7 linked regions of the Mus musculus genome follow. The protein of the gene in region 3 interacts with the protein of the main gene of each other region in a biochemical or structural test. Links are inferred from orthologs where the notes say so. Each region holds a gene or a part of one and is shown on either strand. Other genes may lie near its edges.

Region 1 (3,500 bases), on a different chromosome or scaffold from region 3:
AAACTGAACCCTTAAAAGTGAGATACTGAAGAAAGGCCATTACCTGGACAGACGGGTATGTCCGGTTGTTGTCTGTGCTGCGCTCCCCTGGGATGCTACCTGCTGATCGCCCTTCACACTTGTATCTAAACCGCATTCCCCTCTGCCTTGGCTGTTCAATTATTTCTACGTATGGATTATATCCACCTGAAAATTTTAAAAAGAACAGTGCAATGAGATTAGAATAGTAATATAATAGACATTAATGGATATATTTTTTTTTAAAAAAAACAAAGATCTTTTTCCTTCCCAACATTAAATAACAAAGTTAAAATGTAATCTTCAAAGATTAAATGATGAAGATAACATTTCCTTATACAAACTAAATTCCTATGTAGTATTAACACATAACTGGTGAGTTCTTTATTGCTTAATATCTATACCTAATGAGTGTATTAAGTTGTGAGATAACAACTCTTAGAGTTACCTGTCCACATGAGGGCAATTATAAAGTTTTTCTTCCAACATTTCCCAAGAAAGGTGAAGAAAATAGTATTCAGAAGTACATTATATTCCAAAACTGAGTAAAATGTACTTAACTGCTTTATTTTAAATTAGACAATCACTGCATGAAAGAACACTCATTAAAAATTAAAGTGGACTTACGTCCTTGCATAGGCGAGTCTGGATTATCAAAGGATCTGTACACAATATACTAAAACAGTATACTGACTTTAAGCTCAACTGAACTTTCAAATCGGTCCCATCTAAATCTTCTCCAAAATGTAACACATAATGTGGAGATAACAAAGTCATTTACCTTCCATAACAAATGTAATTCAACATACGTACCCTTAGGATAAAACACTATAAATATAACTACCAAAGTAAGTGTGTTGAGTAAAAGAAGCACATACTATATGATCCATTTACATGAAACTCCAGAAATGTAAGCTAATCTATAATGAAAAAAAAGGTGATCACTATTTGTCTAAACTTGGTAGATGAGAAAGTTTGAAGGATGGTATTTCCAAGTATGGAGGGCCAGGCCTTAATAGAGGTAGGCTGATCTCTGTGAGTTCAAGACCAGTCTTAACTATATAGCAAGTTCCAGGCCAGCAGGGCTACATAATGAGATCTCATATCAAAAAAAAAAAAAAACTAAAAAAAAAGTTTATATATAATTATTATATTATAATGAGTTTTAAGTATATGTCAATAAAACTTTAAAAATATATGCATCTTCACCCTTTAGCCAAGTCATGGAAATAGAAGGTCCATAAAATAACTGTGTTTTCATGTTAAGGCAGGTAACCATGTGATTTTACTTCAGGAGTATAAATTCCCCAAACCATAAACCCATTTCACTAAGGCTTATCCTGTAGAATGTAAACAAGCTTCAGAAATGGTGAAACAATGAGTTTTTTAGTATAGCATGGGACATGGTCTATTCCAAACTGGGCACTTTTCTTTTCCTTGTAGAATTTACTATGTATATGTAGACCCAATTGACCATGAACTTGCAGTGATTTTTTTGCCTCCTGAGTTCTACTATCAAAACAAAATAAGATCCAGCAAGAGTCTAGCAAGACCCTGTGTTTAATAATATCTTATTATTAATATGCTCTGTAAAATATGTGTTAAATTCTTCCAAGTATCACACATACAAGTGGTAATCAGTAAATGGTACTACTATTACTTCAGATGTTGCTCTCTTGAAGAAAGTGACACCCTCACTATCACAGCTGCTACTCGGAAGGACCCTATACCCAACAGCAAGCAATGACTATACTAGTCATCGCAATGATGTTAGTGTACAGAAGGGGGAAATACTAACAAAATTCTGCAGAAAGTTATAATAAGAACAAAAGAGGAATCTAACAGTTTAAGAGAGGGAAAATGTAACAAAACAAGAGTGGAAAGACATTTTAGAAAAAGGGAAGTAATTGTCCATGACATCAACCACCAATGGAAGTAGAGTGCACTACCACTCTTAGAAAGAGAACCAAAAGTCCAAGCACATCCAGTAATATGGATTTTGTTGTATATGTGAAAAGCAATCAATGCTTTTATTCAGGAAATCAAAGGCTCAGATTAGCTTTCTAGAGAAAGAATTCTGATGGTAGTGGTTAGACTAAAAAAAAAAAAAGAAAAGAAAAGAATCAGTTTAAGACGACTTACATACATGCACATACATTTTATCCTATAAACACACACACACATACATACATACACACACATACATACATACACACATATAAGAGGTTAACAACAATATAATAGAATTACAACAAATGACTAAAACAAGTTATTTAAAACTTTATGAAATTTTTCTTTTAACATTTTGGACTACAGTTGATTACAAATAAATGAACTGAAAAAAATCAGACTATAGGTAAGTGGAGAGTATTGTCATATGAGCAAAAATGTGGATATGTCTGAAATATAGCTGTTATAAAGAAAAAAGATTATTTCAAAAAACAAAACTGACATATTTTGGTATCTAAACATCAAAGAGAAATAAACCACTAGTGGTAAGAGTCTGGGAAAACAGCCCAGTCAGAAAAATGCGTGACATTCAAGTACAAGATCCTGAGTTCAAGCCCCAGCATCCATAAAAACAGCCAGGCATGGTAGCATATCCCTGTAAGCCAGTGCTGGAGAGGAGATAGGAGGAACCTTGGCAGTCACTGGCTTGCCAGACTAGCCTAATGAGTGAGTACTAGGTCCCTGTGAGAGAGACACACAGGGGGTGGGGGCAAAGGGGAGAATCAATTGTGGCCATGTGGTTTTTCAATAAATTATTGCTGCTACCTTTAATTTTATTCATTCTGATTTAGACCTCTTGCATTTGAATCTATCACTCATTTGCTTATTCAAATGACAGAAAGCAGGCTGAAGGATCTGGGTACAAACTCAGTACCACCAGAAACAAAACAAAAGAACACAAATAAACAACAAACACACACACACACACACACACACACACACACACACACACAAAAGAGAAAACTACTTTAATCCAACAAAGTCCATAGTAATTACTGGAAATATAAGGCAAATGAATATTTTACAATGTGTGTATCACTGTATATGTAAAAATTACATCGTAATTTTAAATATCTTATATGCCTATGCATTCTTGTAGGACTACTTAAGAGAATGTACCTTTCTCTTCAAATGTGTTAAATTCAACATGATTTTTTTCAGTGGCATCTTAAAGAACTTATATGGTTGAACTAAATGGTCAAATAAATCCCAGCCCACTACTTAAAAGGTGTTCTGGTGAGAAATTGATAATTAATGATATCATTAATGATAGCTGGATTTTTTTTAAAGGAGAAATATAAAAAACATTGCAGGGTTATTCAAAGCAAGTTACACATTTCTTTAAACCAGTGAGTGTATTTATAAAACTATGAAATACAAAGGACCTAAGACTAAGTATTTTTAAAATTTCTTAAAGTAATAAGAATTACCTAAATATTGTCATGTAATTTCATGCATTTATATTTATTTTT
Region 2 (4,239 bases), on a different chromosome or scaffold from region 3:
CAGACAGGCACCAACCCTCCTCCACAGTGCTGGTTCCCTTACCTGTGTGAGTTCGCAGGTGTGCCTTGAGATGAGAACTCTTGGTATAGGTTTTGCCACAGCCTGCATAGTCACAAGTGTGGGTGGCTGTTCTTTTCCGGGGCCACGACCTTCTTCCCCTCTTTGGCTTGGGCTCCTCTGGCAGGCAGGAACCCGGTGGCATGAGCTCTGGGAGGGGGGGGGGTAAAGAAAGTGGGGTCAACTTCAATCTGGATAGTCTCAAGATCCCCAGAAACAAAGCTCCCAGCGCCATCTCTACCAGCCAGTCCCTTCCCCCCACTAACCTTGATAATGGAGAGAGGGGACTTGTGACTGCATCTGGTCTGGCAGGAAAGGAGGGTAGTTGGGCCCCGGATGGGGATGGAATCCTGGGGGAAGAGGCAGGCCAGGGTGACAGTCCCTGCTGTTCAGCAGTTCCTCGGGACTCAGTGTAGGGGTAGTCCTGGTGGGGAGCTGCCGCCCCAGGGGGAAGTCGTGTGTGTTGGGCCGGTGGCCGTTGCTGAGCTGGGGTCCAGCGCTCAAATGGGCCTCTAGGGACCGGCTGACCGTGCAGGACGGGACCGCCTCTTGCTTAATCTTGGGGCACATGCGCGGCGGGCCACCGCTGTAGGGCGCCACTACCACGGGGTGGCTGCCGTCTGGGCTTCCTTTGCTAACACTGATGACCGAAGGGCTGCTGTACTCGCTGCCAGGGGTGGTCAGAGACGCCTTCAGCACAAACTTGCCCATCAGCCCGCCACCTGGCGGCTGAGGCTGCTGTGGCGGAATGTATACTGGGTCCAACTCCGGCCGCAGGAGCTCAGCCACGAAGCCGCCCGAGGGGCTCACGTCATTGATGTCCGCCAGGTTGAAGGGGGCCGTGGGAGGTGGCGCAGATTCTCGGCTGTAGAGGAGCCCTCCACCTGTGTTGCTGGCAGCCACGCCCGGGTCACCCCCGGCCCGGATCGGATAGCTGAAGCTGCAGGTGGAGGGCGCGCTGGCAGGGCCGCTGCTCGCCGGGGAAGACGAGGATGAAGCTGACGCCGAGGTGGTCACGGTGGCGGCCACCGATTCCTGGTGGGTTAGCGAGTTGGAAAGGATAAAGTCTAGGTCCAGGAGGTCGTTGAACTCCTCGGTCTCCCTCCGGGCTAGGAGGGCCGGGTTGTTACTGCTGCAAGCTGCACCAGCTCCGCCACTCTCCAGGTCTGTGGCCACCGTCGCCGCCAGGTCGTAGGGGCGGCCGGGAAGTGGGGGAAGTCGCTTCATGTGAGAGAGTTCCTCACGCCAACGCTGCAAGAACAGGGAGGGAGAGAGAAACTGTTAATTGTAGCACCCTGTTGCCACCCCTAATATTGACTTGTTGGGTGAAGCACACCAACACCCTGCTATAGGAACTGGACAGAACAGGAAGGCAGCCTCGGGGACTCCAGGGGCCACACTGCAATCTCAGCTAACACCAAGGTAAGAGGTGGCGCGTTCGTTCTCCTGCAAGCTAGTGCCGTCGCTCCACCAGCCCAGTCCTCTTCCCCGCCAGATCCGCGGGACGCTCCAGCCGCCCACGGAATTGGGACACTGGGACACGGTGGCTTTCTCCCCATGCACCATAGCCACCGGGTCGCCCACGCGCTACGATCACTCCGGCCCAAAGGGTCTCGAGACTTGTCCACCTAAAATATAGTGGACTGAGTGCGCCCACCCCACGGTCCGGACGCCCGAAGACTAGTGGGGAACCGCTGTGCGCCCCTGGCGGTACCGCAGTGCCGGGACCACACGCACTTAAGGCCGACTCAAGGGCCGAGGAGCCACCTCGGAAGGCTGTAGAGTTCCAATGGAGGGCAATCCTTGTCCTAACCAAGGACTCTTGGTGACCCCCGGATTCCGCCCATACACCCCACCCCATCTGCAGAAATCTACAGGGCACTAGCGCGACACTCACGTTAGTCGGGGCACCTGCTGGACGCAGTGTCTTCTCCCTTCCCGCCGGGCCGGACGCGAACGTGGAGAAGGACGGGAGCAGAGCGTCGCTGACAGCCATGTCAGACTCGCCAGGTGGCTGCCTGCGGGCCGGGCGGGGCGCACAGGGACCAGGAGTCAGGGGACACCCTGGCCACTGCTCCGAAGCTTCCCTCCAATCCTCACCCCTTTCTGTTCCCAAGTCCAACATCTCACCTACCTCATTAATGTGGGGGCCCAGAAGGTCCTCCGGAGTCCGAAGAAGAGAGAGGGGTACCTGAGCCCCAAAGTCAACGAAGATTAAAAACTTTAGAAACAAAACCTCAAACCAAAACCCCCAGATTGCCCGAGATCCTTCTTCTTTGGATTCAATATAAACCGGCGATGTCTTTAAAAAAGTTCCTTTGTATACAAAAATTCTTAGAAAAGTTGTAAACTCTTATAAAAATAGACAATCAGCAAGGCAGATAAGTAGGTCCGATGGCCAGGCTGCACGCTCTTGGACTCAGCAGTGTCCCCCACCGTTGTCGCGGCCACTGTGGCTGTCGGCGGCGCGGGGGCTGTGGTCCGGGCGGTGGGCGGGCGGCGCCGCCAGGTGAGAATGGCCGCGGTGGCGCGGAACTGCGAGCTGGGCGGTGGCGCGGGGTGCGGAGTCCTGGGGACTGTGCCGGGTGCGCGCGGCCATGGGCGCGGGTCACGGGCGGGTTGCTGGGTGGGGGGCTGGAGGGGCGGGGAGGGGCACTCGGCGGCTCCGGGTGCCGCCGCCGCCCGCCACCGCCTCTGCTCCCCGCGCGCCCGGAGCCGCGCTCGCTCTCTTGGCCGGGGAACTGCCGGCGGCCGCCGCGCGCTTCTTACTTATAACTTCTCGCTCGCTTGCTCCCCGCCTCCTCCCTGTGGCGGCGCGCGGGGCTCCGCCGCCAGGCCCCGCCCCCTGCCTTTCTTCTCCCCGCCTTCCCGCAGCCCCCACTGCGCGTTGCCATGGTAGCTAAATAAACAAACTCCGCGCACGTGGGGGCGGGGGCGAGGGAGGGGCGCGGGCGGGGCGGGGCCAGGCCGTGACGCCAGCCAGGCAGCTGGCGGGCTGGAGCCGTGCTGACGCCGGCGGCGGTGGCGGCGACGGCGGCTCCGGCGCTGGGAGTACGGCGTGGCTCCCGTGGCCGCGCTACTCGGGGTCCTCTGGGCGGCCACGGTCGGTTCCCTGGGCTCGAAAGTCCTGCCACGGGAACCCTGGCGGGGGACAGGAGGTTGGGGGTGTGTGTGTGTGGGGGGGAAGAGGCGGCGCGCCCCTACCCCTGCTCGCGTACGCGCTTGTCCTGTCGTCTGCGCACTCGAGAGCGCGATTATCCGCGTGACTCATCCAGCCCGCCCTCTCTCGCATACGCACGCAGACGCCGGGCCGTGTCGGCGCAGGGCCTGGCCTGGCGCGGGTGCCAGTGGGGCCTCCCGTAGGGTGGGGGTGAGGGCCGGGTGATTGGGGGGGGGCGCTAGGAATCTCAGAAGCTAGGAGAAGGGGTTCCGCGCCTGCTATGAAAGAGAGCGGCCGGGATTGGGCACGTAGTCATCTTGATAATGGAAGGAACAAGGAAGGCGTTCCAGATTTACATTGGGGGTGGGGGAGTGGGAACGCGGAGAGGGACCGAGGCGCGGAGATACCTTTCACCAGGGATCTCAAAGCTCTTTACAAGCTACGCACTCGCACTCTTCATTTTGAAGATGAGAAGTGAGTCATAAAGAGGTGAAGCGGCGAGGTAAAGGTCATAGGACAACTCGCTCCCATCAACTTAGGTTCTGAGCTAGCCAACCCACTCAAAGGGACTTCACTGGGAGGTGATCCTGCGCTGGGAAGAGGAGCGCTGCAATGGGACCCTAGTGCTCCAAAGTGGCACCTCAGGCCCTTGCCTACCGGGAGGGGAAAAGGCAGTCTTTGTTTTAGTCTTATTACTCCTTTTCCCATTCCCCACTACCCTCAGTAATTTTCCAGCCGGGAAAGGTTTTCGCCCTCATCTCTACCAAGTACTTAAAACAAAACAAAAACCGTGAGTGTGGTGTTCAGTATAACTCGCTAAACTAGGTTTACTTTTTTTTTTTTTTTAAGGCTAGGTGTTTATTTTGGATTGGGGAGCAGAGTTGGGCTCCGCCGCCCTCATGGTTGAACCCTGGCGGAGACAGCTGAGGGCGGGGACTGAAGAAAGGCACTCGGGAAAGGGGGTCGATGCTCCAGCATAGGCAGCGTGTGCACTCGCTCCTCTCGGGGCGTCGGTGCCACGT
Region 3 (3,500 bases):
AATTAAACTTTAATAAACTAAAATTATAACAGTTACACGTTATAAGACTGAACAAAGCCGGGCATGGTGGTGCATGCCTTTAATCCCAGCACTCAGGAGGCAGAGGCAGACAGATTTCTGAGTTCGAGGCCAGCCTGGTCTACAAAGTGAGTTCCAGGGTAGCCAGGGCTACACAGAGAAACCCTGTCTCGAAAAACCAAAAAAACCAAAAAAAAAAAAAACTGAACAATACTTGTCAAAGAGAAGACAGAAAATAGTAGACTAGTATGTTTCTATGTTCCAACTGACCTTGTAGTCATGGACAATACGTTCTGATACAGCCTTGTCAAGCATCTTTTTGTACCATTCTTGCAGGCGCTTGGGCTTTGGTATCTTCTGATCAGGTGGATGGCAATGGAAGATATAGTCATCCCCTTCACTGGGTGGACAGGCCCAGATGTGCCCTGTTGTGTATCTAAAAACACAAAGAGAAAGACATCAAGATATCATTTGTGTTAGAAAACGCTACAGTAGTCCTCCTAGAGTAGTGGAGGCTACAGGTGCAAACCACTGCACACAGTACGTGGTAAACAACAAGGCAAAAAGACAAGGACACAAATGTTTACTCTCAATAAGACCCAAAAGCAGATGCACTAACAGTTCTCATACCACTACTTGTTTTCAAAGGCCATTGAGGAATGTTGTAAATTTCATTTACAGAAATTGGTTCTTGATCCTAAAACCTCAAGTCTGTATTTTAAGATCAAAAAAGGGAAGAAACCCATCCTAAAAATTAAGTGTAAGGGGAACTGCTATAAGTTAGGTGGCAAATACTCTCCAGAATTGATTAGGTAAGGACTATCTGCACATGTTAACCTATAAATGAACTTGTACTCTACACGGCTGGGATTGTACGTATCATATTCAGCATGTTGTTAGTCTTTACACACAATTATAAAAGGATCAAGAAAACATTTTATTTCCAAATGAATAATATCAATAGTTTCAACAAAACAGAACAAAAGAATTGGTTTATTAGTTAAAGCATGGTGATATCATCTTCATATCACAGAAGATCTAACAAACTGAGTTCATGGCTCCACTGTATCATAACCAACACGAGAAAGCAAAAATACATAATTATACATTTTCTACAACATATCACTTTTTAATAAGCTTACCCTAATTTCTTGACATATTCCAAATATCCAATTAGAATTTCATGATAGACTGCAGTCCGCAAGCATTTAGGACGGAAGAAATGAACACTATCGAGGTAAGATATGTATACCCTCCTATATCAAAAACAAGGAAAGAAAAATGTTTCATCACGTATTAAATTATTATTTATATGGCTAAAGACATCAGCATTCCTTCCTGTGCTCTTGTTACTTGTAATTATCATAGGGAAATCCCAGGTGTGACTATGGGGATCTGGGTCGACCTTGGCTTCTATGTAGGACTGACCTGGTACATGCTATACTCACCATCCTGTTTCTGCCCAGTGTGCTTTTCTGCCAGTTATCACAGGAACCCAATCCCCTTGCCATTCCCTCTCCCACAACATGAGAAGCTGGTCACATTGAGTCCTACCTCTGGTTGGGAGGGGGGCAGTCAGAGCCATATTCTTGAACATGCATGCCGAAGAAACACAAGTCAACACCATCAATTTCTTCAAAGGCAAACAGGGCCTTTGTTCGGTATGGAAAAGATTCTGCCATCTCTCCACTATCTACAAACCTACAGATGAAAAGGAAATCACAAATCATTCAGGTTGAAATCAACAATAATTGAGTGTGCACAATTGTAGATCTATAAATACAAAATAGATATCATTAGACACCTTGCTTTCATGCCTGGTTTCACTTCCACAGTTTTGTCAGAAGCATGAACAACCCGAACAGTGACCTCTCCTGATTCAGGGTGATTTTGTCGCCTCAGAAAGTCATTCACTCGATTCTCCAGAAAGGTCCCAAGTCTGGTAGATGGCAATCCTAGAAATATAAAAGTTACAAGTTACCAAGTTAAGGTCTTGTGCACAATTACAAATGTTAGAGTAGGAAGAACATTACCATGGCTCAAATTTTACTGTCAATATTGAGGTTCAACTAACCTGATGTATTTGTTTTTTTTTTTTTTCAACATAGTAAGATATCATATCACTCAATACAAAGTATCAGGTAAGGCCAGAAGGTGCCTGTTAATTTTACAGTGATTCTAGTCAGTCACTTTTACATGTGCATCACATTATGACATGAGCCAAATCAGGAAGAAATAGAGGAGAAAATGTATATTAGAACTTCAGTGATTTTTTTTATAGCTCAATATTCAGTATGCTATAGGATTATTTTATTTTAGCTAAATCTCTTTTTCTCTTTTGAAAGAGGGGCTCACTATGTAGACGAGGCTGGCCTCAAACTCAAGAGATCTGCCTGCCTCCTAAGTACAGAGCTTAGAGGTATGTACCACAACACTTGTTAAAATTGATCAATTTTGGCCATATATACATATACATATACATACACACACACACACACACACACACACATATATATGCAGAGGCTGACTGCAAACTCAGAAATCTGCCAGCCTCTTCCTTCCCAGTGCTGGGATTAAAGGGTGTGCCACCACCGCCCAGCTATTTGTAATTGTTTAAAGTAAGGTTTACCTCTAAGAATGAGACTTACTTTTAGCAGAAAGCTTATTTTCTTTCCTAGTTCGTGCAGTTTTCTTTAAACAGCCATCACAGACAAACCTAAAACGTAAACCAGGACTTTGTTTATATAACATAAAAATTAAAGCACCATGTAACAAAATCTATCATTCAAATCCAGGTAAACGCAAAAACACTTGGCACAAGTTCCTACATATATAACAAAGTTGGTATAACCAGTATAGAGTTTTTAGAAGGCAGGTCTAGGATTTCTAGCTGAGAGAAACAAGATAACTGTAATCCCAACTGAGAATGGGAGACAGGAAGATCAAGGAGATCCTGGCGAGCCAGTGTGAGCATCTCAAAAACACCAACAAGAAAGAAGCATTTTGCTTTCTCCTTAGGCTTCTGTGCTACATGGTTATTATAATCCCAGAGCTGAGAGGGATGTGAGGAAGGGTTGGTCAAGGCTATATACAGATTACAAAGTAAGTTTGATGATAGATCCACGTTTCCTCACACCAACCACAGCCACACACACACAGATTTCTCTAAGTATACACTAGGCAAGTTCCCTACTACTGAACTATATGTATCCCTAGCTATTATACCCAGGCTGGTCTTCAACTCCCAATTTTCCTGTGTCACCCTTTGAGGATCAAGAACTGGCATTAAATTCTATAATAAAACAACTTCTAATTACAAAAAAATACAAAAAACAAAGCAAGCTTAATATATGTTTTTTAAAAAATAATTTAGTCAGGTGGTGGTAGTGGTGGCACACGCTTTCAATCCCAACACTGAGTTCAAGGCCAGCCTGGTCTACAAGAGAAATCCTATCTCAAAAAAAGTCTCTGGGTATATGGCA
Region 4 (4,146 bases), on a different chromosome or scaffold from region 3:
GAGAGTTCTTGTTCGTGTGAGGCAGAATCTCATGCTGTAGCCCAGGCTGGAACTCATTCTATATCCCAGGCTGGCTTAAAATTCAGGGAAGACTCCTGCCAAAGCCTCAGAAGCCCTGGGCTTACATACTGGGCCACAAGCCTGGACTCTGTGTTGTGTATGTTAAGGCAGGGTCTCAGTAAATTGCTCGAACGTTTGATCCTCCTACCTCAGCCTCCCCAGTAACTGGGTTTACCGACCAGAACCACCAAGCCTAGTTGCATCCTGCAAACTCTACAAGTTCCTAAACAGCTGTGTCATATATCGTTTAAAAATCAGGTAACTAGAAGGTAGAGAGATAGCTCAGTGGGTAAAGGCACTGAGGTCAAACCTGATGACCCTAAATTCAATCCCCAGACCCATGTGTTTGAGAGAGAGAACTGAATCCAAGTGGTTCTTATGACCTTCACATGTGAGCCATCACATACACGTGACCACACAACACTCACACACACATACATACATACATACACACATACATACATACACACACACACACACACACACACACACACACACACACGTTAAGTAAATGTAATTAAAAAAATCAATTAAATAGGCTGAGGTTGAAGCTCCATGGCAGAGGGGTTGCACAGCATGCGAGGGCCCTGGGTTCGAATCCTAGCACAGTCAAAAGTTAAATGCACATAAACACACCCAAAAAAGTAATAATCTGTGTTTCAAGTATTTTAACATTTCTCATAAACTTTGAGGTTCCAGGGATAGGGCTCAGCCCTGAAGGAAACAAAAAGATCTGGCAGCACCGGGCAGCACCGATCACTCTCAGGTAGCAAGCAGCAGGGGCAGGTGGCTACGGACTTTTTAGAAGGGGTGTACATCCTCACCTCTTCCTTCCACCCTTGACTAGCTGTTACCTGGTCCTCACGGGTAATGAGGACCTCACTCCATTCTCTTTCCCTACCATTTCCAACCATCAAATATTCCATCTCTCTCTCTCTCCTCTGGTTGTATTCTGAGTCTATTCCTTCTCTCCTCTCTCTCTCTAATCTATGCCTATTTACTCCTAAGTCTCAGACTCCAGACAAGAAAGCATGGGGTCAACCCAAAGCCAGAAACACCTACAAAAAAACCCCATTAATATAAAAAAATCTAATAAGTTACTGATAACATTATATGGATGCATCCATCACCTTTCAGCAAAGCTGTCTCTAACAGTGCCACTCTTCAACATTTTTTTTCTTCTCAAATGGAAAGTCAAGACCACAAAAAGCTGTGCCACTTTCAATATTTAACTTCTAGCGCCTCTCTTTTTTCCATTGTCGTTTTTTGGGGAATATCATGCTTTTCTAGATCCTAGGAGTCTGCAGTAGTCACATGACCTTGGCTAAAGGCGATTATTACATGTGCCTGCAACTTCACACAACTATGGAGATACTGCTTAAAGTTTACCTGCTCCTAAATAAAACCTAGCCAGTTTGCTCTGAAATAACACTACCATTCACTTCAGAATGCCCTTCCATTTCTCACATATCTCCGCCGCACTGAACACTACAGAACAACTCAGTTCACAGCACAGGCCTCCTCACTTGCCTGCCTACCTACCTACCTACTCACTAGAATCTACCACCTGAATATCAAGAATCATGTGGATTTGCAACGCCCCCCTCCTCCAACCCCAACAGACTCAACCTCACCTTAGCGGTTAAGAGGAGTTTACAAGAGTATTAAAAGTAATAGAACGATCTCTTTTTCTGACTCCAAAAAGAACCAAAACTGAACGGAAATGAAAATGAAATGGAGAGTAGGAGACGTACCGCAGATTGAAACCTCGGTTGCTCTTCCTGGAATAAGAGAGAGAGAAAAATAGAAAATACAGAAGTTATTTTCACACTTCGAATTCAATAATAAGAAAGAAAATGCCGGCGGCGGAGGAAGCAGCGGGTGGGGAGTCAGTCTGACACCCCTCCCTCCCTCTTTCCCCTTCCACTCTCTCCAGCGAGATCCCGTAGCCTAGTTGGGGGGGGGGGGGGGGGGGGTTTCAGGCACTGCCCCTCCTTCTGGGATCCGAACCGGACAAGAGGGATCCGGAACACTGCCTGCTCTCCCTCGATCCCTCTAGGGCGTCAGAGCACTCCCAGCCCCTTCACCCCAAGGATCAACCGGTCACAGGAGGAGGGAGCTCATGGACCCAAAGAGCAAGAGCTGAGCGCTGGTCTCCTTGCCCAGGATCCGGAAGGATAATGGGATCCCCAGCCGGGCAGAGCGGAGAGGGAGGCCTCGACACCCTCCTCCACGGGAGAATGTGGGGGTCCCAGAGGCCGCGTGTCTGCTCCCACCTTCAGTCCCAGGAGGCCTCTCCGGACAGGACTGGAGGGGAGCGAGCCTGGAGCGCGACGCAGGCGGTCCCGGCCCCGGGGGGAGGGGGAGAAAAGGACGGAGGCGGCGGCGACCCGACCCCCTCCCGCCGTCGCCCGGCTGAGAACCCTTGCCGCTGTCCCCGCCTGACAACCCGAACGGAAAGGAAGAAGCCCCAGGACTCACGTCGCTCTCCACCTCGATGTCATCGTTATCGCTCATTTCCTACGGCCCAGGGAGCGGCCACTGCAGCGGCGGCCGGGGAGGGGAGGGGTGGAGGGAAGGGGGAAGTCACCGACAACAACAAGCCGAGTGCCCCCACGCACACACTCACTCACTCGCTCACTCACTCACACACACTCACGCACACACAACACGGGCGACAACCACCTCACTGCAGCACCGGATCAACGGCGGCACGCACGCCCGATCGGCCCCCTAACACGTGACCGGGCTCACCGCGCCGGGGTAGCTGAGACTTGTAGTCCTCGAGCGTCGGATGGGCGAGTGAGAGAGAGCCAGAGAAACTACAAATCCCATCAGGAACCGCACACAGGCTTCGCCAGACTCGCTTGTTGACAGAGCTCAGGGCGCCTGCGCCCCGGGTGTTGGCAGCGAGAAGTGGCGCGGTGCCTCCCGGGAGATGTAGTCCACAGACCGCGAGTTGTCAGGAGATTTTCCTCCCCAGGCGGCGGAGAGGCTGCTGGGAAGACAGGACACGTGGAGGGAGCTGGGCTCCTGGAGCCGGCCACAATTCCGAGCTCTGGGCGCCCGGCCCAAGGGATTGGGTGGAGGCTCGGGGGTTTGGGGGCGGGGGGAGAGAAACTGGCTGCCAAAATAACACTGTCTCTTCTTGGCTAGACTGCTTTTACATTGTCTCGTTTAATGCTTGAGTCGCTCCACTTGCGCCCTGGGGCGTAACCCTCCCGGGAAGGAATCACGCTGTGGCTGACCAGGGGGCGCGGTCGAGATGCCCACGCGGGCCCTCTGTTATCTGGGTTTAAGGTGTTAAGAGACATTACGGGACAAACTAAAGGACCGATTTCGCCGGGTGTCCTTCATCTCAAGAATCTTGCTTTCATTTGTCCGAGAGAACTGTCCTTGCTGGGCTTGAGTGTTTACAAAACCTCTCGTAGGTGCAAGTAAAACCTACCTTCTGTTTGTTGTAGCCGGAGCAGATTAGGGAGTGCCCCAGTTTATAGAGAACTTTAATTAACTGCAAAAAGAATCAAAACGGGAAAGTTGTGCAGCTCCCTGTCCAGTTAAGGTCATACATAATGCAACGAGGTATGAAGTGTAACTACATTGTCCCCACCCGCATTTAGCTAAGTATCTAATATGTGGCAGCCCAGGAATGGCATGATGTGTCCCCTCAAAGACTTCACAGCTTTGAAAGCAAAAACCGGACTACCCTGTCACCATTTTCAGTGTGCACCAGGTCCTCAATGAAACAACAAACAAACAAACAAACAAACAAACAGTAATAATAAGGTCATCTGAGAAATTAACCAGACTACCACTTTACAATTGATCTTCAAAATGAGTGCGGTCTTGAGTTTGATTTATGAGTTAATGTTTTTTGAGTAAAAAATCATTTAACCCCTGACTATTGAGTGCAGAAACTTGGTGGTGTAATACAATCTTTCTGACACCTAGCCCAGGCTGGCCTTAAATGTCCGTGTGGCCAAGCCTAGTGATGAGAACACAGTCATAAGCAGACACTGACTCGTAATAGAAGTCAAGGGCTGTAAGGGAGACAAAGATGGTAAGAGGGTTTTTTGTTTGTTTGTT
Region 5 (2,258 bases), on a different chromosome or scaffold from region 3:
GCCATGTCTGGCCGTGGCAAACAAGGAGGCAAGGCCCGCGCCAAGGCGAAGTCGCGGTCGTCCCGCGCCGGGCTGCAGTTCCCGGTGGGGCGTGTGCACCGGCTGCTGCGCAAGGGCAACTACGCGGAGCGCGTGGGCGCCGGCGCGCCGGTGTACATGGCGGCGGTGCTGGAGTACCTAACGGCCGAGATCCTGGAGCTGGCGGGCAACGCGGCCCGCGACAACAAGAAGACGCGCATCATCCCGCGCCATCTGCAACTAGCTGTGAGGAACGATGAGGAGCTCAACAAGTTACTAGGGGGAGTCACCATCGCCCAGGGCGGGGTCCTCCCCAATATTCAGGCTGTCTTACTTCCGAAGAAAACGGAAAGTCATAAGCCTGGAAAGAACAAATAACTATTATCCCTTTCCACACAAAAAGGCTCTTTTAAGAGCCACCAAAGTGTCATCCAAAGGGCTGGTCACAAACTGGCGCGTTAGCTAGCTCCTTTGTAAAAGATTTGGTGGCTCTAAAAAGAGCCTTTTTGGATTCGTGTTGAGTTTCACTTGCTCTTAGCCTTGTGGCTCTCGGTCTTCTTGGGCAGCAGCACGGCCTGGATGTTGGGCAGGACGCCGCCCTGTGCGATCGTCACTTTGCCCAGCAGCTTGTTGAGCTCCTCGTCGTTGCGGATGGCCAGCTGCAGATGGCGCGGGATGATGCGCGTCTTCTTGTTGTCGCGGGCCGCGTTGCCCGCCAGCTCCAGGATCTCGGCCGTTAGGTACTCCAGCACCGCCGCCATGTATACCGGCGCGCCGGCGCCCACGCGCTCCGCGTAGTTGCCCTTGCGCAGCAGCCGGTGCACACGCCCCACCGGGAACTGTAGCCCGGCCCGGGAAGACCGCGACTTGGCCTTGGCGCGGGCCTTGCCTCCCTGTTTGCCACGGCCAGACATAACTTAGAGTATAATGTAGGACACACCGAGGTGACAACTTCTGTAAAGCTAGGTTGATTCGTCTCTAAGGCCTTTATAGGCGCTCCTAGGGGTGGGGTGAGGAGGGAGCTTTTCATTGGTGGTTATTTGGCCCCTGAGAAGTCCAATGAAATCTGAAATTTTAGGCTTGTACTGAAAACGCAAGTTTCGCGTATGGGCCAATGGAAATTAAAAGTACTTTGAGACCTAATTTGCATAAGGCGTTCATAAAGGGCTCAAGTCCTCCGGGTCCCTGGTTGATTTTCTACTTACTAGACTGTTTTCCACTGTTTGCTTTTAATCATGCCTGAACTGGCCAAATCTGCCCCGGCTCCCAAGAAGGGTTCCAAGAAGGCTGTCACCAAGGCGCAAAAGAAAGATGGCAAGAAGCGCAAGCGCAGCCGCAAGGAGAGCTACTCCATCTATGTGTACAAAGTGCTGAAGCAGGTGCACCCGGACACCGGCATCTCGTCCAAGGCCATGGGCATCATGAACTCGTTTGTCAATGACATCTTTGAGCGCATAGCAAACGAGGCTTCTCGCCTGGCGCATTACAACAAGCGGTCTACAATCACATCGCGGGAGATCCAGACGTCGGTGCGCCTTCTACTGCCCGGAGAACTGGCCAAGCACGCCGTGTCGGAGGGCACCAAGGCCGTCACCAAGTACACCAGCGCCAAGTAGAGGCCTCCCTGGATGAGGCGCTCGCTGGCCCCTTTGATCTTTTAAAGTCTCTTTTAGTGAGTCACCCGCTCAAATCAGAAGAGAGCTTTGCCACTTGCATTAGTTTCTAGTTCCTATTCCAAAGTTACTCCAAGGGTCTTGAAAAGGGTACACTTCAGAAGTTTTAAGCCTTTGTGGTTTTGAGTTCCCCTGTGGGTATCTGTTTGCAGTTTGCTGCACCCTACTTAGCTTCTTGGAGTTCTTTTTAGACTAGGATAATGGAGGTGGGTCTCTGGGCCCGGTTTCCGTGTTCTAGGCTTTTGGGGTACCATTTACTTGTCGACTTAAAGTGAGATGGTTTCCTTACCCTGGCGAATAGAGGGCTCCAGGACACAGCTAAGACTGTGTCGGCGAATGCTGGGTACCAGCCATCTACAACTGAAACCGCTCTGTCCCTTTACTTGTGTCCTGGGCACCAGCGGTTACGGGGTACTTAGGGTGGTGTCCCTCTAATTTACTGATTTACAAACACGAATGTTCCACGTTGCTGCCGATTTGGTAGAAGTCGGTTATGGTTCTCTATCAGGCTTTAAAATCCCTGTTCGAGGCTTGCTTGGTTTGTTTTGTTCTGTTTTTGTTTTTCCT
Region 6 (2,537 bases), on a different chromosome or scaffold from region 3:
TGTCAGCAGCCGGGCTGGTATTCACACTGTGGCCTGTTGTCCGAGAGGATACACGGCTGGTGGCTGCGGCACTATTGTCTACTGTGGTGCTGCTTCACGCCCTCTTGGCGCTAGGCTGTAAGGTAGGTTCCAGGAGATTCTCACCAGGGCTGTGGAGTGGGGTGTGCTGCCACCCAACTGTACATTCATTCTGAGGTCTTTCTGCAGCTGTACTTCTTCCAGCCACTGCCTCTGGACCATGTGGTGCCAGCACCCCAAGCTACACCTCCATCTCCCAATGTCCTGCTGCCCAGTTCAATCCAGCCCATGACAACCTCCTAGGAAGGCTCATAGGTGAGGGACCAGTTTCTGTGTTGGTTGAGGATGTACCCTCCTCCTGGGACCATTCCTAGGAGTCTTTCTTTTTCAGGCCAAACTCAAGGGGATACTACTTGTCCTGCCCTCCCTATGAAGATGGGAGGATTCTTGGACCCTGGAGACTACCCTGCTGTTTTGCAGGCTTTTCTTACAAAGCAAACACTTTTATTTTCTATGCAAAGGTGATCCAGAGAATTTATATAAAGGTGGGGGAGGGGCAGCCGAGCAAGGAGTATTACTGATGGACAGGAGAGAGCCTGGTTCCCAGCTGCCTGAGGGCCCTCTGATTCCCTGACAGGTCAGGAGGGTGGCACAGAGCAGCTCCAGCCTTTGCCAAGGGGTTCCTGTGGCAGGCTGTGGCCATTGAGGTGGGGACTCTAGGGTAAGGGAATAGGGGAAACTGCCTGTGCTTATTAATCACCCTTCCTTCTTTGCTTTTCTTCTTGTCTGGGGAGGTCCCTGCGAGGCTCCTTCCCAGGGTTGCTGTCTTGAGAGGATTAAGTAGAACATGAATGTGAACGCAACACACAGGCCTATGTTAGCTATCAGGAGAGGACGCCTTCCTTGTGTGTGTGTGACAGATCTTTGAGGTTTCTTGTCTGCCCCAGTAGCCCAGGGTGACACACTCTGGGCTGCCTGTTCAAGCTTTTGATGGAGGGGGGCCTTCAGGGCTCAGGACAGGACAGTAGCAGAAAGTAGGGACTAGGCCTTTGGACAGCTGGGTGGTTTGTACATTCAAGTTTGAGGTGAACCCTTTGGTGGGAGGGGGCTGTGCCCACTCTGAAGGCTTGACAGGGCCACCCCTCACCTAGAACCTCTGGGCCTAGGAACAGGGGCTGCTGGCTTGGCCCGGCCAGCCGGGTTTCTCAGAGGGTCTGTGGGTTGACACTGGTTCTTTTCGTAAAAAAATAAAATTAAAAAAAGCAGCATGTCACGCCCATGGTGACCATGTGGCCTGGTAGTTGAAGGAGAGGTCCAGCTGGCTGTGCTGCCACCCCAGGTGAGGGGAGGTGCAAGGACGGGTTGTGGGGTGGGTGCTGCCAGGTCTGTGGTGGCAGCTGCTGGCCTCCTCCTGCCTGGTCAGGTGCAGCTGTGGGGGTTGGGGGAGGACTTGCCTCTTCCAGCAGATGTCAAAGCCAGGTCAGAGTGGAGAGTACAGAACAGGATGAGGGCTGCCCCAACAGGATCTCATGTAAAGTATGGCAGCAACACGCGCTCGGGACCAAAGGTTGGGCTGGGGGTACTTGAGGGCAGCGGCGACATCGTGTACAAAATTGTCCAAGTTCCCATAGCAAAGAGGGCTGTGACCGGGTGTTCACACTTCTCCAGAACAAGGGGGAACAGCCACTGGCTGTGCCGGGCCTGGACTTGATTTGGTTTCCTGGTGCTGTCAGTGCGCAGTGCTGTCGCGGCTGGAGGCACCTAACTCCCATAGTGCATGGTGTTGGTCGGGATGGACATGGGCGAGGCCATAGAGATGGCAGGGCCACCCATGGTGAACTGGTTGTTGACTGCATAGTGGGCACTGGAGCTACCGCCGCCTCCCTGGGCACCTGAGGAGCCTGTAGGGCAGGTCACGGGCACTGAGGAGCCAGCATGACCCCTGAGCCTGCCTGGCCCCCACTGGTAGCTTGAACGTGTGCGCAGGCCAGGCGGAACGTCCCCCGCCCACGGCCCCACTACCCTGTTACCTTGGACAATGCCCGTGCTCATTATGGAGCCCATCCGGGAGTGGGTGTGATTGACAATCCCTGTGTTAGCTGCGTAGCGACAGGGAGGAAAGAGGGAGGGAGGCAGATGTCACCGCCCCCAGCCTGCCCTGCCCACTCCACTCATGGATGGTGTAGGGAAGGGCAGGTGGAGTGGTGATAAAAGTAGAGAGGCACACAGGGCTAGAGTCCCCAGGAAGAAGAAGAAGTGACCATGACAGCGACAGTGGTGGCAGAGAACCAAGCACTGGTTTAACTGGCCACTGGCACATCCCAGTCCTCCCCTGCCATGCCATAGATCCCAGGGGACACTCACCTAAGGGAATCAGGTTGTTGTGACCCACACTGGAGCCGCCGGCAATAACACTGCTCAGGTCGTAGGCAGTAGGCATTCCTAACCAGAGAGTAGGTGTCAGGGGTGGGGCAGGCTCTGGGAATTGGGGTCCAGGCTGCCACCAAGGGCCTCCAGCC
Region 7 (2,522 bases), on a different chromosome or scaffold from region 3:
TGTTTCGCCACCACCAGGAAGGAGGGTGTGGGGAGCAGACTGGCAGGGTTCCTGTTGGGAGCCATTGTTGGGAAGACTGCGGGCTTGTAGCAGGAGGCGGTGCATGTGTTGAGGCAGATGCAGTGCTTCAGTGATGCAACCTGGAGTCAGGCCCCAGTGCTGTGGACTTCCTGCCCTTACTGACGCTGCCTTGAGACAGGGTGGCCCTCAGCTAGGGAAAGCTTGATGTCCATAGGGAAACTCCTCCCTCTGCCCTGCCTGCTATCCCAGGCCATGCAGCTGCTCCTGTGTGATCTACTTCTTGTGGCCCGTACCAGTCTGTGGCAGCGGCAGCAGTCACCAGCTTCAGTCCAGGTAGCTCACGGTACCAGCAATGGACCCCAGGCCTCTGCTCTGGAGCTGCGTGGTTTCCAACATGACCTGAGCAGCCTGCGGCGGTTGGCACAGAGCTTCCGGCCTGCTATGAGGAGGGTGAGTCCCACTGTTCTCACACTGAGGGGCATGAGGTAGGAAGCCGGGAGTGGGGGGACAGTAAATCTGAAACGGGTGACTACTCCTTGCCTCTCAGGTATTCCTACATGAGGCCACAGCTCGGCTGATGGCAGGAGCAAGTCCTGCCCGGACACACCAGCTCCTGGATCGCAGTCTGAGGAGGAGGGCAGGTTCCAGTGGCAAAGGAGGTGAGGAGGTGGCTGTGCTTACAGGGCTGGTGAGGGTCAGGGGCCGTCTTGGTCTAGTGAGACATACTGAGAGCTGACTTACAGAAATCAGCGGGGATGACAGTTTTTGAGGCAGTCATAGGAAAGAAGCTGAGCCCCCCTGTGTGCCCAGCCCAAGTGGAGAAAGCAGCCAGACTGGGAGTTCCACGTGGAAGAGCTCAGCTACTTTGTCCTGCACATGGGGTGTGGGCTCGGCCAGACCTAAGCCTCCCTCCCTTTGATGTGATCTGTGCAGGCACTACAGCTGAGCTGGAGCCACGGCCCACATGGCGGGAGCACACCGAGGCCCTGCTGTTGGCATCCTGCTATCTGCCCCCTGCCTTCCTGTCGGCTCCTGGGCAGCGAATGAGCATGCTGGCCGAGGCGGCACGCACCGTAGAGAAGCTTGGCGATCACCGGCTACTGCTGGACTGCCAGCAGATGCTCCTGCGCCTGGGCGGCGGAACCACCGTCACTTCCAGCTAGACCCCAAAGCTTTCCCTTGAGGACCTTTGTCATTGGCTGTGGTCTTCCAGAGGGTGAGCCTGACAAGCAATCAGGACCATGCCGACCTCTAGTGGCAGATCTGGAAATTGCAGAGGCTGCACTGGCCCGATGGCACCCTCTTGCTCTGTAGGCACCTTAGTGGCTTTTCCCTAGCTGAGGCTCACCCTGGGAGACCTGTACATAGTGTAGATCCGGCTGGGCCTGGCTCCAGGGCAGGCCCATGTACTACTTTGACTTTTGCAAACTTTATTTTCATAGGTTGAGAAATTTTGTACAGAATATTAAAAAATGAAATTATTTATAACTTCAGTTTTGTTTATCTGGGTAGGCAGATGTCTGCCTCAGCTGATTGCTATCTTTCCTGGCTTGTCCTTTGGGAAGCCGGACTTCCCATCTGTTGTAAGGTGTATTTGCTGGCTTGGTGATGCTATGTTGAGCCACCTTGGCCCTCTGATCTCATGGCTCATAACCCTTGAGGGGCCTTGATGGTCTCAGTTGTTCCTTTGCCTTCCAGCCCTCCACCAGGTAATAACCCCGTATATCCAGAAACACACACAGTTCCCTAGTCATCTCTGTGCACCAGCATAGGCGAAGGATCAGGGCCCATTAGTGAGTAGACTGGGAACCCTGTTTGTGTCCCCCGGCCCCTTCCCTCTACTCCCAACCCCTTAGGGAATCTGGTCGGCATCCACAGGCCGCACACTTCCAAAACAATCGTGGTATCTTTATTGACTTTTTTTTTTCTGAATGCAATGACTGTTTTTTTTTTTTTTAACTCTTAAGGAAAATAAACATCTTTTAGAAACAGCTCGATACACACAATCTTCAGTGTGAAGCAATATACTAATAAGAACACTAGTTGTCTTAACATTTACAGTCTTCATATATATTATATATATGTATATGTATACATATATATACACTATATAACGAGGCCAGATATAATACACACGTTTACCATTTTACAGTCATATGTACAGAACGTTGCAGGGAGAAGGGGCTGCATCAGGCCTATTAAAGCGTGGACAGAGCTGAGGACACAAACGGACAGGTGGGGGCTGGCCGTGGTGGTGGTGATGGTGGTAGTTGCTCGGGGAAGGGGCATCACTTTGGCCCCGACCCCAGCCAAGGCCAGGTTAGGGCTCTGTGCTGTGGAGCACACGACGCACAGCAGCGACACACAGAAGCGAGCATGTTCCCAACATATATACATTCTATGTAACATATATATAGAGGGGTACACAGGTTTGTACACGAATCTAGCACTGTCTCCGCCTATGAGCCGAGTGAGCTGAGTGGCAGTCCCTGAATCCCATG

The links.
Region 1: the proteins of Ep300 (region 3) and Rel form a complex in vitro, tested with the Homo sapiens proteins (3 studies listed by BioGRID). The link is inferred for Mus musculus from reciprocal best matches to the Homo sapiens genes EP300 and REL.
Region 2: the proteins of Ep300 (region 3) and Klf4 form a complex in vitro, tested with the Homo sapiens proteins (2 studies listed by BioGRID). The link is inferred for Mus musculus from reciprocal best matches to the Homo sapiens genes EP300 and KLF4.
Region 4: of the proteins of Ep300 (region 3) and Max, one has a biochemical effect on the other in vitro, tested with the Homo sapiens proteins (3 studies listed by BioGRID). The link is inferred for Mus musculus from reciprocal best matches to the Homo sapiens genes EP300 and MAX.
Region 5: of the proteins of Ep300 (region 3) and H2ac20, one has a biochemical effect on the other in vitro, tested with the Homo sapiens proteins (5 studies listed by BioGRID, with this or other methods). The link is inferred for Mus musculus from reciprocal best matches to the Homo sapiens genes EP300 and H2AC20.
Region 6: the proteins of Ep300 (region 3) and Carm1 form a complex in vitro, tested with the Homo sapiens proteins (5 studies listed by BioGRID, with this or other methods). The link is inferred for Mus musculus from reciprocal best matches to the Homo sapiens genes EP300 and CARM1.
Region 7: the proteins of Ep300 (region 3) and Srebf1 form a complex in vitro, tested with the Homo sapiens proteins (3 studies listed by BioGRID, with this or other methods). The link is inferred for Mus musculus from reciprocal best matches to the Homo sapiens genes EP300 and SREBF1.

What each region holds. Positions count from the first base shown.
Region 1 is NC_000077.6:23,760,970-23,764,469, forward strand, and holds part of Rel (proto-oncogene c-Rel), read right to left. Parts: intron 187-3,500; coding exon 44-186; intron 1-43. UniProt on the Homo sapiens protein: Proto-oncogene that may play a role in differentiation and lymphopoiesis.
Region 2 is NC_000070.6:55,529,676-55,533,914, forward strand, and holds the start of Klf4 (Krueppel-like factor 4), read right to left. Parts: upstream 2,801-4,239; 5' UTR 2,197-2,800; coding exon 2,192-2,196; intron 2,076-2,191; coding exon 1,955-2,075; intron 1,309-1,954; coding exon 324-1,308; intron 208-323; coding exon 43-207; intron 1-42. UniProt on the Homo sapiens protein: Transcription factor; can act both as activator and as repressor. Binds the 5'-CACCC-3' core sequence. Binds to the promoter region of its own gene and can activate its own transcription.
Region 3 is NC_000081.6:81,638,214-81,641,713, reverse strand, and holds part of Ep300 (histone acetyltransferase p300), read right to left. Parts: intron 2,735-3,500; coding exon 2,667-2,734; intron 1,974-2,666; coding exon 1,823-1,973; intron 1,720-1,822; coding exon 1,573-1,719; intron 1,275-1,572; coding exon 1,161-1,274; intron 455-1,160; coding exon 289-454; intron 1-288. UniProt on the Homo sapiens protein: Functions as a histone acetyltransferase and regulates transcription via chromatin remodeling. Acetylates all four core histones in nucleosomes. Histone acetylation gives an epigenetic tag for transcriptional activation.
Region 4 is NC_000078.6:76,959,449-76,963,594, forward strand, and holds the start of Max (protein max), read right to left. Parts: upstream 2,801-4,146; 5' UTR 2,578-2,800; coding exon 2,542-2,577; intron 2,532-2,541; exon of another isoform or gene 2,337-2,531; intron 1,842-2,336; coding exon of another isoform or gene 1,815-1,841; intron 1-1,814. UniProt on the Homo sapiens protein: Transcription regulator. Forms a sequence-specific DNA-binding protein complex with MYC or MAD which recognizes the core sequence 5'-CAC[GA]TG-3'. The MYC:MAX complex is a transcriptional activator, whereas the MAD:MAX complex is a repressor.
Region 5 is NC_000069.6:96,219,913-96,222,170, forward strand, and holds H2ac20 (histone H2A type 2-C), read right to left. Parts: upstream 969-2,258; 5' UTR 933-968; coding exon 543-932; 3' UTR 501-542; downstream 1-500. Other genes in the region: H2ac21 (histone H2A type 2-B), read left to right, coding at 4-396; H2bc21 (histone H2B type 2-E), read left to right, coding at 1,254-1,634. UniProt on the Homo sapiens protein: Core component of nucleosome. Nucleosomes wrap and compact DNA into chromatin, limiting DNA accessibility to the cellular machineries which require DNA as a template.
Region 6 is NC_000075.6:21,587,431-21,589,967, reverse strand, and holds the end of Carm1 (histone-arginine methyltransferase CARM1), read right to left. Parts: intron 2,461-2,537; coding exon 2,383-2,460; intron 2,118-2,382; coding exon 2,049-2,117; intron 1,920-2,048; coding exon 1,780-1,919; 3' UTR 501-1,779; downstream 1-500. Other genes in the region: protein YIPF2, read left to right, coding at 1-122, 208-321. UniProt on the Homo sapiens protein: Methylates (mono- and asymmetric dimethylation) the guanidino nitrogens of arginyl residues in several proteins involved in DNA packaging, transcription regulation, pre-mRNA splicing, and mRNA stability.
Region 7 is NC_000077.6:60,198,584-60,201,105, reverse strand, and holds the end of Srebf1 (sterol regulatory element-binding protein 1 isoform a precursor), read left to right. Parts: intron 1-270; coding exon 271-471; intron 472-488; exon of another isoform or gene 489-568; coding exon 569-680; intron 681-954; coding exon 955-1,184; 3' UTR 1,185-2,022; downstream 2,023-2,522.